Linked DNA regions of Macaca mulatta. Each later gene encodes a partner of the first gene's protein in a complex. Links are inferred from orthologs where the notes say so. Each region holds a gene or a part of one and is shown on either strand. Other genes may lie near its edges.

Region 1 (3,500 bases):
GCAGGCAAATCACATCACCTTCCTCTGGCTTGATTTCCTTATTTGTAACATGAAGAGATTGGACAAGATATTTAAGGTCCCTTCCACTCCAAAGTTTCATGACTCATTTTTCTATCACATGAAAGTGTTATATGTGGCCTTGTCACATATATCATTTTAACATAAACATTCAATTTGTTGATATAAAGCACTGAGAATTTCTCACAGATATAATTTTGTTTATATGAAAATAAGTTTCTTCCTAACAACAATAGTATTCTAATTCAGATCAAGATTGCCTTTCCTTTTTTTTTTTTTTAATGAAAAAGACTATTTCTGCCACCCAGGCTGGGGTGCAGTGGTGCAATCTTGTCTCTTTGCAAACTCTACCTCCTGGGTTCAAGTGATCCTCATGCCTCAGCCTCCCAAGTAGCTGGGATTACAGGCACCACCACTATGCCTGGCTAATTTTTGTATTTTTAGTAGAGACAGAGTTTCACTATGTTGGCCAGCCTGGCTTGGAACTCCTGACCTCAGATGATCTGCCCGCCTCAGCCTCCCAAAGTGCTGGGATTACAGGTGTAAGCCACAGTGCCTGGCCTAAGATTGCCTTTCTTCTGTTGCTGTGTATACATTTTCAACTGTATCTTCCTTTAGCTGTCTTTGAAAAATGGTGAATTACCAACAACATGGTGCCCCCCCATGGTGGACGAATCAAGACTTAGTAAAATTACATGTCACTCAGTTAAAAAAAAAAAAAGGCTGGCTGGACACGGTGGCTCATGCCTGTAATCCCAGCACTGTGGGGGGCTGAGGCGGGCGGATTGTGAGATCAAGAGATTGAGACCATCCTGGCCAATATGGTGAAACCCTGTCTCTACTAAAAATACAAAAATTAGCCAGGCGTGGTGGCACACACCTGTAGTCCCAGCTACTTGGGTGGCTGAGGCAGGAGAATTGCTTGAACCTGGGAAGCGGATGTTGCAGTGAGCTGAGATCACACCACTGCACTCCAGCCTGGTGACAGAGCGAGACTCTGTCTAAAAAAAAATAATAATGGGTAAAGCACTTTGAGTAGACATTTTTCCAAAAAGGACATACAAATGGCTGATAAACATGTGAAAGGATGCTCATCATCACTATTAGGGGAAGAGAAATCAAAACCAAAGCAAGATAATACCTCACACCGTTTAGGATGGATACTATCAAAAACAAAACACAATAGAAAATAAGCATTGTTGAAGGAACCTTTGTGTGTTGTTGATGAAATATATAAAATGGTGCAGCCACTATGCAAAACAGTATGGTGATGCTTCAAAAAAATTTTAAAAAAGATTACCATATAATTCAACAATCCCACTTCTGGGTATATCCACAAAATAATTGAAAGCAGGATCTCAAAGAGATACATGCACACCCATGTTCATAGCAACACTGTTCACAGTAGCCAAGAGGTGGACACAACCCAGGTGCCCATCATTGTGTGAATGAATAAACAGAATGTGGTGCCTCCACATAATGGAATATATTCAACTTTAAAAAAGAAGGAAATTATGACATGTTATATAGATGAACCTTGAAGACATTATGCTAAGTGAAATAAACCAGTCACAAAAAGACAAATACTGTTTGATTTCACATATATGAGGTATCTAGAGTGCTCAAATTCATTCAAACAGAAAGTAAACTGGAAGTTACCAGGGACTGGAGGGTGAGTGAGATGAGGTGTTATTGTGTAATAGGTATAGAGTTTCAGTTTTTTAAGATGAAAAAGTTCTAGAGATTGGTTAGATAACAATGTGACTATAGTTAATACTACTAAGCTGTACACTTAAAAATGGCCAAAGCCTGGGATATGGCGAAACCCTATTGCTACAAAAAATACAAAAATTAGCCAGGCATGATAGCGTGTGCCTATAGTCCCAGCAATTCAGAAGGCTGAGGCAGGAGAATCACTTGAGCCTGGGAGGTCAAGGCTGCAGTGACCCATGATCATGCCACTGCCCTCCAGCCTGGGTGACAGAGTGAGACCCTCTCTCAAAAAAATTATAATGAAAATAAAATAAACAAAAATAGTTAAGATGGTAAACTTTGGTTTTTTGTCACCTTTTTTTTAAGTCAAAATTATCTCAGAATCAAGGGCCTATTAAACACTTAAATTTGCTTTCCCCTAGTTCTCTTCTCCATGCAAGGATGGAAAACCAGAGGAATAGAGGTGGAGTCTATGCAAAGTTTGCACCTCCTGTGCAGGAACGTTTTTTTCCACCCGGTGGAAACCGTGCGTTAATCATCACTGGTTCTTGGTTGGTATGTATCATTAGTGTATCTGTGCCTTTAACTCAGAAGAAAGAAGTTCTTTTGGGGCCACTTTTAGATGTTTTCACATGTTAACTGCCAACCTAAAAGTCTCTTAGCCTATACATGAAAGTGCGATTTTTCCAAGTTTAAGACTTAATAGTATATGATATATGAAAGGATGTATACCAAAGAGGTCAAAGTGTTTATCTTGGTTTATTAATTAATGGGTATTTTCCATTTTCTTCTTTATAGATTGTTGGATTTTCTAAATTTTTGTTGCATATATATTTTATAAGCTGGATGTGGTAGCATGCGCCTGTAGTCCTAGCTACTCCGGAGGCTGAAACAGGAGGGTGGTTTGAGCTTAGGTGTTCAAGGCTGCAGCATGCAATGATCACACTTGTGAATGAATAGCCACTGCACTTCAACCCAGGCTACACAGCAAGACACCATCTCCATTAAAAAAAAAAAAAAAAATATATATATATATATATATATATAGCCAAGCACGGTGGCTCACGCCTGTACTCCCAGCACTTTGGGAGGCCAAGGTGGGCAGATCACAAGGTCAGGAGATGGAGACCATCCTGGCCAACATGGTGAAGCCCTGTCTCTACTAAAATACAAAAAAAAAAAAAAAAAAAAAAAATTAGCCAGGCGTGGTGGCGCACACCTGTAGTCCCAGCTACTCGGGAGGCTGAGGCAGGGAAATCGCTTGAACCTGGGAGGTGGAGGTTACAGTGAGCCAAGATCGTGCCACTGCATTCCAGCCTGGCAACAGAGACTCCGTCTCAAAAAAATACATATATATATATGTGTGTGTGTGTGTGTATATATATGTATACACATACATATACATATTTTGATTATAAAATCAAATTTGTTTGTCAAATACAATCAGTGATATAACCCAAAAATTATCCTTCACATAATTTAAATCTTGGGAATGGTACTCCTGGGGTAAAACTAAAATGAATGTAACCTTTTCCCTCTCTGATTTCACAGAATGAAATTCTTCTCGAGAAAAAGACCAAGAGAAGTAAGATTCTGAAGCTGAAGTTCCCAAGAACGGAAGAAGAAAGACGGATGCGGACCCAAAGTAAAAGGAGGCTAGAAGCTAAGAAAGAGCAGCAGCAGAAAAACTTTGTGGACCTGGCCTGCGAGTGCAGCGCAGTCATCTGCTGCCGCGTCACCCCCAAGCAGAAGGCCATGGTGGTGGACCT
Region 2 (4,907 bases), on another chromosome or scaffold:
CTGGAGTACAGTGGTGCAATCAGAACTCACTGCAGCCTTGACATCCCTGGTTAAAGCGATCCTCCCACCTCAGCCTCTTGAGTAGCTGGGGCCTCAGGCACATGCCACCACACCCAGATCATTTTTTAAATTTCTTGTAGAGACAACATCTCCTTATATTGCCCAGGCTAGTCTCAAACTGCTGGGCTCAAGTGATCCTCCTGCCTTGGCCTCCCGAAGTGCTGGAATTATAGGCGAGCCACCATGCCCAGCAAGACCTCATCTCTAAAAAAAAAAAAAAAAAAGAGTGTCTTCCTATCTTGCTATCTACTTCCCCTTCCCTGCACCTGATGATAACTTGATTCCTGCCACACAAACCACCCAAAGTGCTCCCACAAAAGTCAAACCCCCTAGTTCCTTTTCATTTATCTCACTTGAACACTCAGCTGTGTTTAACTCTGTTGACCATTCCTTGTCTTTAAACATTCTCTTTTGACTTTGAAAATCTGTCACGGAATGAATAAACTAGTACCTTTAGGTCATCCAAGGATAGGAGAAAAGGAGGAAAGGCTCTGAGCTCAAGAATGGGGCTTGCACTTTTAGGGTGTGGTGGTGATCTACTAGAAAAAGACTTAAGATTTACCAGATAGGCTTGGTGTGATGGCTCACACCTATGATCCCAACAATTTGGGAAGCTGAGGCAGAAGGATCTCTTGGGCTCAAGAGTTTGAGACAAGCCTGGACAACTGAGGGAGACAACTCTCTCTCAAAAAAAAAAAAAAAAAAAAAAAAAAATCTACTAAAGTTGTGAAAACTGAATTCCTTCTAGAGGATAGTTGTCTGGACTAGTGATTCAATGATACAGGGGTGGGTGGAACTCAACCATAATGATACAAAGAACTATTTATTCTTTATTGAAAAAAATGGTGAATGGAGACTGAATCACACTATGGGAACTTGTTGAGAATTTTGGAACTTCCTCTCTTGGGGTATGATAAGAAGTGAGGGAATTGAAATTCAAGTCACTTGAATTTCCCTCAGTCTTCTCTAATACCTAAAGTTTCCAACTTGCATTCATTTAACAACATGGAATCAATGTTCCAGTATTAAAACAATATTACTTTTTAATTTTAGTGTGACTTATAGAGTGCAATTTGATACTTAATTACACCCTATGATAAATAGATATTATTGGCTATTTTGCTTCTTACTCCTAATATGTCCCCTATCAGACTGCAAATGCCTTGAGGTCAAAGGTCCTTTTTTGTCTAATTAGCATAGGACTGAATACCTGGAAGATGCTAACAAAATTCCTCTGTTCAATTTAATACGCATTTTAACTTTCCAAGTTTCAGTGGGTTTTGAATGACTTCTGAATACACTATATTATGCTAGGTGTAGTGTAATAGAGAAAACATTTGTATTACTTGCATTTTACAAGCTGGAGGAGAAGCAAGAACACAATACCTAGGGAAGATTTAGTAAGAAATCAGAATGTCCCAATACCCCCTTGGTATATGTTATACCAACCTAGATTTTTAAAAAAGCAAGCCAGAATCCCACACAACCTAGGGAGCTAATTTGAGTTCTTTTTATAATAAATCCTATACATTCTTGTAGTTCACCTCCTTAGGCCAGACACTCCAGATTTCTTTGTGGATAGCAGCTAGGTCTCCTGGGACCTTGGATTGGGCCTTTCTCTAGTCAGGCAAATAATCTGAAAAGAAAACAAAATCACATGTAGTCCAGCACATTTCTTCCTTTCTTGGTTTCTCCACCAGCTAGAGAGTTATTTAAAGGCTCTGAACCTCTCCAGCCTTTGATTCTTTTTAAGGATCATTTTATTTTTAGAGAACTTTCCACATTTCCTAGTTATACAGCCAGACTGGGTGATCTGGCCAGAAAATCATTTTCCCTTAAAAAAAAAAAAAAAAAAAAGCTAAAATTTGAACACAGGCGTTGAATTCGAAACAGATTTATCACAACGTAATTCCCCGGACACTCCCAACTTGAGACTGAAAGCTGGGCGAAAGGGTTTTCTGAAGCTAACCTAAAAGACAAAATGGTCTAGAGTCACCTTTTCCCCGCAAATAACAGGGGATTAACAACCTGAAATCTTCAAGCCTCCCGGACATGGTGCAAGCCCTCAGGAGAGGAGGCCGGAGCGCCTTTTGATTTCGGGAGACTGGCCCAGGAAATCCAGTCACTTGGAAGGCGAAAGAGAAGGTGGTACCTGAGCCAGGTATGAGCCACTCAGAGGCAGTCCGGGGCCGCCACTCACCTTGGAGAGGAGGAGCTGGAGTCCCATGACCCGGACTGAGAGGAAAGGCGAGACTGAGTCTACCAGGTGAGGTAAAAAACACCCACCTGCTCACCTCGGAAGGGGCGAGCGAGGTGCGGCTCCCGGTGACCCGCGACGGTGGAGCGCACCTGGGCGGAGGCGGAACTGGGGGGTGTGGGCACTGCTTGTAGGGCCTGGAACTAAACTCACCTGTGAGGGAGGCAGAGGCGGGGCCCGGGCAAAAACCCACCTGAGCCGGCTGGAAACCCGACCCGCCAGCAGTCCCCAGGCTCGCGCGGCGGGGCCCCCCTCGGTCAGCCCACGCGTCGGTCCCCGCACGGCCGCCATGACCTGGAGCGCCACGGCCCGGGGCGCCCACCAGCCCGACAACACCGCCTTCACGCAGCAGCGCCTCCCAGCCTGGCAGCCGCTGCTGTCGGCCAGCATCGCGCTGCCGCTCTTCTTCTGCGCGGGCCTGGCCTTCATTGGCCTGGGCCTGGGCCTCTACTACTCCTCCAACGGCATCAAGGAGCTGGAGTACGACTACACCGGCGACTCGGGCACCAGCAACTGCTCGGTGTGCGCCGAGGCTGGCCAGGGCCGCGCGCCGCCGCCCCCCTGCTCGTGCGCCTGGTCCTTCTCGCTGCCCGAGCTCTTCCAGGGCCCCGTGTACCTCTACTACGAGCTGACCAACTTCTACCAGAACAACCGGCGCTACGGCGTGTCCCGCGACGACGAGCAGCTGAGCGGGCTGCCCAGCGCGCTGCGCCACCCGGTCAACGAGTGCGCCCCCTACCAGCTCAGCGCGGCCGGCCTGCCCATCGCGCCCTGCGGCGCCATCGCCAACAGTCTCTTCAACGACTCCTTCTCGCTTTGGCACCAGCGCCTGCCAGGCGGGCTCTACGTCGAGGTGCCGCTCGACCGCTCCGGCATCGCCTGGTGGACCGACTACCACGTCAAGTTCCGCAACCCGCCGCTGGTCAACGGCAGCCTGGCGCTGGCCTTCCAGGGCACGGCGCCCCCGCCCAACTGGCGCCGGCCGGTCTACGAGCTCAGCCCCGACCCCAACAACACCGGTTTCATCAACCAGGACTTCGTGGTGTGGATGCGCACGGCGGCGCTGCCCACGTTCCGCAAGCTGTATGCGCGCATCCGCCAGGGCAACTATTCGGCCGGGCTGCCGCGGGGCGCCTACCGCGTCAACATCACCTACAACTACCCGGTGCGCGCGTTCGGCGGCCACAAGCTCCTCATCTTCAGCAGCATCTCGTGGATGGGTGGCAAGAACCCTTTCCTCGGCATCGCCTACCTGGTCGTCGGCTCCCTCTGCATCTTCACCGGCTTTGTCATGCTGATCGTCTACATTCGCTACCAGGACCAGGACGACGACGACGAGGAGTGATTCCAGCTTTCCAGGGATCCTTCCTGCTTCTTGCCAAAACTCTTCCGAGCTTCTTCTGGCATCTCCTCCTCGCCCCTGGCCCAATTCCAACCTCTCCTCGCTTTTCCTCCCTTTGTGAATGAGGGGATCAGAGAAGGGAATTACCCCCTTGCTCTTGGGGGGCTCGCTAGACTGTCTTGCCGCGGGGAGGGATGTTGACTGCAGAGTGAAACATCATTGCAAACTCTTCCCACCTCCTTCACGACACCGAGTTGCCATGTGAGGTTCTTCAAGTCTGAGAAGGGAAGGGATCCCTATGGAGACTCCTGTTCAACCCCTATCAGAGGAAGAGATTGAGAGACCTAGCAATGTGAAGTAACTAAGATCAGGCAGCTGCAAGTGACTCCTGACTCTTGAGTCTAGAGCTTTTGCCACTACAATACTGTGGTTTTCTTTTCTTTGGTGAGGGGAGTGGGTTGGAATGGAGAGTGAGGCCCACAAATTACCTGCAGAGATGTGGAAGCGTGAGGGAGAACATGCTTGTTAAATATGCAGGTAGATTAGGAGACACCAACCAGAGATTCAGTCACAGTAAGGCTGGGATGAGACCCTCGAAGCTGTGTTTTAACAAACTCCTCTGGAGAGTCCCATACTCCCTCAAATTTGGGAATCACGACCCTGAACCAGGTTGGGCCTGAAGCAGTCAACTGAGTTCACTTTTTTGGATAGTAATTTGTTCCCGGGGGCAGTGACAACCATGATGTTCCAGGTTTGGTCTGGCACTCTGCCTTGAACGTAGGAAGCTCTTGATGACTTGTGGAATGAATTTTTAAAAAATCACTATCTCGGGAAAACTAGTTGGCATACAGAGTTGTAGGACAGGGTTTATGTTATTCATTTAATATTTTAGTATTTTGGTATAAAAGCAAACAGGCAAACTTTGCCAGGTACTGTGTAGAAACTCGAAAATGTGAGGCCAGTTTGTACAGTTCAGAGGAAATGCTTTAACCTAGAATCAGACAGCTGGAAGAGATCTTCGAGGGAAAGTAAGTTCCCTAAAGTCACATCTATGTCTCCTAGCTCAATCTTCTTTATCATTTAGTGTGCGTGTGTGTGTTTAGAAAGGGCTTCATACCTTTTCCCTTGCATCTGGAAAAAAATTTATCTTTTCAAATGAAATCTGTTGATTCCTAGTAATCATATTTGAATCAGTGCTAAGGCATATATAGTCTTTTATGTAAACTAGAATCTTAAGATTATTTGAAC
Region 3 (5,145 bases), on another chromosome or scaffold:
ACAAAACCAAAAAATGAAGGTAAAATGACCATTTATACAGAGTGCTGGAATAGCAAAATATTAAAAAATGATCAAATTTAGTGGGCATGATGATATAGGCAGAAATGGGGAGGAAAAACCTGCCTTATATGTACTTTTGCAATATGCCCATATTTTGGCATACATTTTTACTAACAGAACTTAGCAAAATAAAAGGATTCCATGACTTCTCCATTAACTGTGATAGATTGTTTCCTATTTGAGCCTGGGGTTGAAGGTAAACTTAACAGATCAAAACAAAATATAGACCTAAGTATGTCAGCAGTGCTAAGAATTTGAGCATGAATGTCATGTAAGAGCAAACCCAAGCAAGTCGGTTATTAGAGGGCAACAAGTATTGTATCACTCTAAACTCTGCCTAGTAAGTATGTGATTGGCTCACATTTTTTAGACTTGTGGTCATTTTGAAAAAAATTTAACTGTAAATTTTTTTTTTTTTTTTGAGATGGAGTTTCACTCTTGTTGACCAGGCTGGAGTGCAACGGGGGATCTCGGGCTCACTGCAACCTTCGCCTCCCGGGTTCAAGTGATTCTCCTGCCTCAGCCTCCCGAGTAGCTGGGATTACAGGCCCGGCCACCACACTCGGCTAATTTTGTATTTTTAGTAAAGACGGGCTTTCATCATGTTGGCCAGGCTAGTCTCGAACTCCTGACCTCAGGTGATCCACCCGCCTCGGCCTTCCAAAGTGTTGGGATTACAGGCGTGACCCACGGTGCCCGGCCTAACTGTAAATTATGAGGACCAAGCACTCCTTATTTTCTCTTTCCTCAGTTTAACTTATTTAAGGCATTACTGCAGACTAAGCCTAAAAGTAATTTATTTTCAAATGATGCGACTTACTCTCTGGCCTAGACTTCAAAGATGTCAGTATAATGTGGATTGTATATAATTGTTTAAATTTTACAAATAACATACGCCTATTATAGAAATTTTGGAAAATACAGAAAAGTGCAAAGAAACAGGAAAAAAAAATTCCTCCATCCGGTCAACAGAGTTACCATTATTCACTTTTTAGTTCCGCTCTATATTATACTTCTACAGTCGCTACACTACTCTAATATCCTGACTTAGTCACCTTTTACATCACGAGTATTTCCTTGGGTCATTAAATATCTGGCACTTTTAAAGTGTTTACGGGGTATCTTATTTTGTAGTAATGCTATATGTCCTGGTTTTTACAACAGTAAGAGAAAAAGCTACAGCCTATTACAAAACACTTCCTATATCAATGCGCAAAAGAGAAAGGTGGACATAGAAAAGGGGAAAAGTAACGTGAGAATCAGCAATAGAGAAAAAATAAGTGAGAATCGCTTAATTAGAGGCAAGATAATAGGGCTAAGTCACATTATTGATTCTTGACTTTAGGACAAAAGGGGTACATGTTACGCACCTGTGTTCCAAGTTTATAATTGCACCTTGAATAGCGATTTATTTAATTAAACTCGCGGTTTTACAACCTAAGCAAATACTGCTAATTCTCCCCCGACTCAATCCCCCTTGAGGCCGCCTTTTAAATGCTCCGACTCCCTTCAGAGAAACCCTCGAGGTAAAAAGAAAAACCTGTCTGGCAATCCGGACCTGCAGTCGCCACTATAACCAGAGTAGCAGGCAGGTGTGTGCTAACTAAAGCCACGGCCAACAGAGCAAATATACGCCTACAGCGCAGGCTCGGAATCCCCTAGCTCTAGGGCCGCGCATGCGCCAATGTAGCTTCGCGCTCGGGTGGCTGAGTCCGTCACAGGACAGATGATCAGGGTGCGTCCGCCTTTTCCTTCCCCCTTCTATCCTCCTCCCCTTTCCCCTCCCCTTGTCCCTCCTTCTTCTCCCTCCTCCCTCTCTCCCTCCCTCTGGCGTCTCCAGCCGACTTACGCTTCCTGTCCGCGGCCTTTGGCGGAAGAGTGTCCCGCCTCTTCCGCTCCACAGCGGAGGCGGCTGTGGCGGTGGCCCTGGTGGCGGCGGCGGCGGCAGCGGAGCTCGAGCGGTTCCTGTCAGGGTCAGCCGGCGGGCCCCCTGGGTGGTCCACCTGCAAGTGGCGGAGCGGTGCCCCGGGGATCGATGGCGATGAACTATAACGCGAAGGATGAAGTGGACGGTGGGCCCCCTTGTGCTCCGGGGGGCACCGCGAAGACTCGGAGACCGGATAACACGGCCTTCAAACAGCAACGGCTGCCAGCTTGGCAGCCCATCCTTACGGCTGGCACGGTGCTACCTATTTTCTTCATCATCGGCCTCATCTTCATTCCCATTGGCATTGGCATCTTTGTCACCTCCAACAACATCCGCGAGATCGAGGTGAGGGGAGGGAGCTGTGGTGGGAGTTGGCGTTGCTCGGGAGGACGGTCCTACGCGCCCGCCCCACTCCTTTCCCAGCGCCCTAAAGCCAGTTGACAGGCAGACCCCGCGCCGCCCCCCACCCCCTTCCCTCTGTTTTTTCTTTCTCTTTCTGCGGGTTTCCTGAATTTGCAGCTTTGTCCTAGCTTTGTCTTGCGGTTTACGAAAGAGCAAATCGACGGGATGAGCTGAGACGGAATGAATGTTTAATGCAGAAGATGGGTCAGGTGGAGAACGCTTCTTCAGTAGGCGGTTTGTGTGGTTCCATGGGGGATTAGCGGGGGTTGTTCACGGAGGTAAAAAGAGAAGTGGGGGCGGGGGCAATTGTAGCTAGGTAGATGCAACCCTGAGTGAATTGACAGGGTCAAAAGTGTCATTACCTTTGTGGGCGTTATCCGAAGACACAGAGATGAACACCTTGGCCATTGTTGGGAAAAGAACCAGAGTCGTAGAGGTATTGACGATTCTAATATAAAGAAGCTGTCGCATGTTATCAGGTCACGTATGAGGACTTACGACAAATGTGCATAGTACTTTTCATTTTGAGCTAATTCGATATTTTCAGTTGTGGGGCAAGATACACAGGAAAGATAACCTGAAACTTCAATTCTGGTTTTGCTTTTAGGCTACGTTTATTAATGGGCCCTACATTTGCTGGTCTTTTTTTTTTTTTTTTTTTTTTTTTTTTACAAAAAGAGCCAGTGACCACATTCAGGGAGTAAGTTGTCCACTGTCTACCAAACATTTTACTGATACTAACTTTGCTGAATATGTAAGACATGACAGGAAAACTTGGGGAAACATTTCTTTGTCAGAAGCACAGTATCTTTATCTGTAGGGGTGAAGATGGTTGATAGTACACTGTATTAATATATGCTGTATAGGTGTCCAGTATTAAGCATCTCTCATCTTTTCTTGCATATCTGAGAATGTTGTTGTTTTCTAAATCTATTTGAAAGGGCAGGAACTAGTAAGAAGTTCTCTTGATTCCTTCTGTTCTATTTATACACACACACACACATTTTAATAAATATACTTACCTATGTGATTTAATGGGACTTTGAGAGTAATTTTATTTTTAACTACTGAAATAGGGATGGGGTTCCACTTTAATTTGCAGTGTTCTCTCTAAAAGCAAGATTCATGTGTTTTGTAATTCTACAGTGCTTACTTCAGTGTTGACGACAGTAATGAGAATAGTATCTATAGCATAACTAGTTTTAAAATTTTTTACTAAAAATTTATTCTCAATTTAATAACTAAAGAGTTACAGTATTTTTTTCAGCATGTATTTTAGTTTGTTTTATCACCTTAATCTCCCTAATAATCCTGCAAATGTAGTACTTCTTGTTCTAACCATACTAGGATCACACATTATATTAGTATATGGGCAAAGTGGTGTCATGCAAGGAACATGGGCATTGGCTGGGGTCAGGCAGAGCTGGTTTTAAATTCTAGCTCAGCTACTAACCATCTCAGTTTCTTGGAAAATTTCCTTAATCTCTCTGAGCTTCAGTTTCCTGCAAAATAGGTAGAATAATTCATATCTTCTAAGGTGTGAGAATTAGAAGCAATGTAAATAAGATGTCTGGCAGTAGGGATCTGTCTCCTGATCCTTAATCAGGAGATGAGAAAGAGTTTGAGATTTGACAGTAAACTAGTTAAGAGTATTATAAAAAATGAGACAGAAACTCAGGTGTCTTGACTCCCAGCTTTAAGCTTTCACCCTACACTAAGATCCTTACTGCAATGTTAATAAAGTAGAAGAAAATAATTTAACATCTGAAATTTGAATGATTTTATTTAAACTTCTTAAGATAAGAGGAAAATAGCAATAATTTGGAATTGTGTATAAGTTAGTATTTTCAGAGCTCAACTTCCATTAATATTTACCATAGTAGAAAAATAAATGTTTAACTTTTCTTAAAATCTTTGGGTTTTGGAGTAAAATAAGGTTCCTCACACTAAGTAGTAGACAAAATAGAAATTTTTCAAATAGCTCTCATGTGTAATTCTGATTTCAAGTTGCCTGAAGAATCTGCTGCAGCTTAGCCTGGTTAAAAGGGCACTGAAGAGTCAGGGAATTAGGGTTGAAATCCCACCTCTGTCACTCTGTACTTTGTGATCTTAGGTATAATTTTGAGTCCAGTTTCTTTACTTGAAGAACCAAAAGATTCAGATTAAACTGCCTCTAAGAGGCTGTTCAACTCTAAAATTCTATGATATCCAATTCAAATGTGATTTTTAAAAAACTGGATGTGTTTAAATTGTATTGCCTTTGGAGCAAGAGGAAATGAAAACTAAGAATAATTTAGAATTTTTTACTGACAATGAACATACAGTTGTGCAGACAGAATCCACATATGTATTTTTAAAGTTTGGATGCTGGATATATAGAGAAATGCTTCTGAATTGTGTCTGGAGTTATTAGAAAAACCTACGGAGATTCCCCAAACACACATACTTGTTTCCTTCTTGTTCTCTACTCTGTTAGCCACTAGTTGTAATTGGGTAATGAGAAGTTCTTACCAACATTCACTCTCATACTGTAAGTTACTCACACTTTATTTTTTATTTGAGAAAATCTTCATTGCTATATTAGTTCAAATTACTAGGGCAAAGGAGACTTGTCAAATCCAAATGCTTTTGTAATATAGTTTAAAGTGCCAAAATCAAAAATTCAAACTTTTTCAAGTATAAAATCACTGGATTTTTCTCATTCCTGCAGAAATATTGCACTAAAAATTACTACTTTTGAAAAGTGTCTTGGATGC

Evidence for each region. Proteins that work in one complex are often made in the same cells at the same time.
Region 2: the proteins of ATP8B1 (region 1) and TMEM30B are in contact, whole or in part, in a cryo-EM structure (PDB 7VGH), measured with the Homo sapiens proteins. The link is inferred for Macaca mulatta from reciprocal best matches to the Homo sapiens genes ATP8B1 and TMEM30B. Residues at the interface, in NP_001361314.1 of Homo sapiens: Trp362, Val366, Ser369, Ser370, Trp371, Tyr372, Leu373, Tyr374, Asp375, Gly376, Phe418, Trp421, Asp422, Leu423, Tyr426, Asp431, Pro433, His939, Trp942, Arg946, Tyr968, Phe971, Asn972, Gly973, Ser975, Ala976, Gln977, Leu1003, Gln1005, Phe1049; in NP_001017970.1 of Homo sapiens: Gly9, Ala10, His11, Gln12, Pro13, Asn15, Phe18, Thr19, Gln20, Gln21, Arg22, Leu23, Pro24, Ala25, Trp26, Gln27, Pro28, Leu30, Ser31, Ala32, Ala35, Leu38, Phe39, Phe46, Leu49, Leu53, Tyr109, Tyr111, Asn116, Phe117.
Region 3: the proteins of ATP8B1 (region 1) and TMEM30A are in contact, whole or in part, in a cryo-EM structure (PDB 7VGI), measured with the Homo sapiens proteins. The link is inferred for Macaca mulatta from reciprocal best matches to the Homo sapiens genes ATP8B1 and TMEM30A. Residues at the interface, in NP_001361314.1 of Homo sapiens: Thr138, His359, Trp362, Glu363, Val366, Ser369, Ser370, Trp371, Tyr372, Leu373, Tyr374, Asp375, Gly376, Arg384, Ile388, Phe418, Asn420, Trp421, Asp422, Leu423, Tyr426, Lys430, Asp431, Thr432, Pro433, His939, Trp942, Arg946, Tyr968, Phe971; in NP_060717.1 of Homo sapiens: Lys24, Thr25, Arg26, Arg27, Pro28, Asn30, Phe33, Lys34, Gln35, Gln36, Arg37, Leu38, Pro39, Ala40, Trp41, Gln42, Pro43, Ile44, Leu45, Thr46, Ala47, Val50, Phe54, Ile57, Phe61, Ile64, Ile68, Ile75, Phe119, Tyr121.

The regions. Positions count from the first base shown.
Region 1 is NC_133423.1:23,342,624-23,346,123, forward strand, and holds part of ATP8B1 (phospholipid-transporting ATPase IC), read left to right. Parts: intron 1-2,153; coding exon 2,154-2,286; intron 2,287-3,282; coding exon 3,283-3,500. UniProt on the Homo sapiens protein: Catalytic component of a P4-ATPase flippase complex which catalyzes the hydrolysis of ATP coupled to the transport of phospholipids, in particular phosphatidylcholines (PC), from the outer to the inner leaflet of the plasma membrane.
Region 2 is NC_133412.1:134,385,477-134,390,383, reverse strand, and holds the start of TMEM30B (cell cycle control protein 50B), read left to right. Parts: upstream 1-1,740; 5' UTR 1,741-2,606; coding exon 2,607-3,662; 3' UTR 3,663-4,907. UniProt on the Homo sapiens protein: Accessory component of a P4-ATPase flippase complex which catalyzes the hydrolysis of ATP coupled to the transport of aminophospholipids from the outer to the inner leaflet of various membranes and ensures the maintenance of asymmetric distribution of phospholipids.
Region 3 is NC_133409.1:110,454,112-110,459,256, forward strand, and holds the start of TMEM30A (cell cycle control protein 50A), read left to right. Parts: upstream 1-1,978; 5' UTR 1,979-2,095; coding exon 2,096-2,332; intron 2,333-5,145. UniProt on the Homo sapiens protein: Accessory component of a P4-ATPase flippase complex which catalyzes the hydrolysis of ATP coupled to the transport of aminophospholipids from the outer to the inner leaflet of various membranes and ensures the maintenance of asymmetric distribution of phospholipids.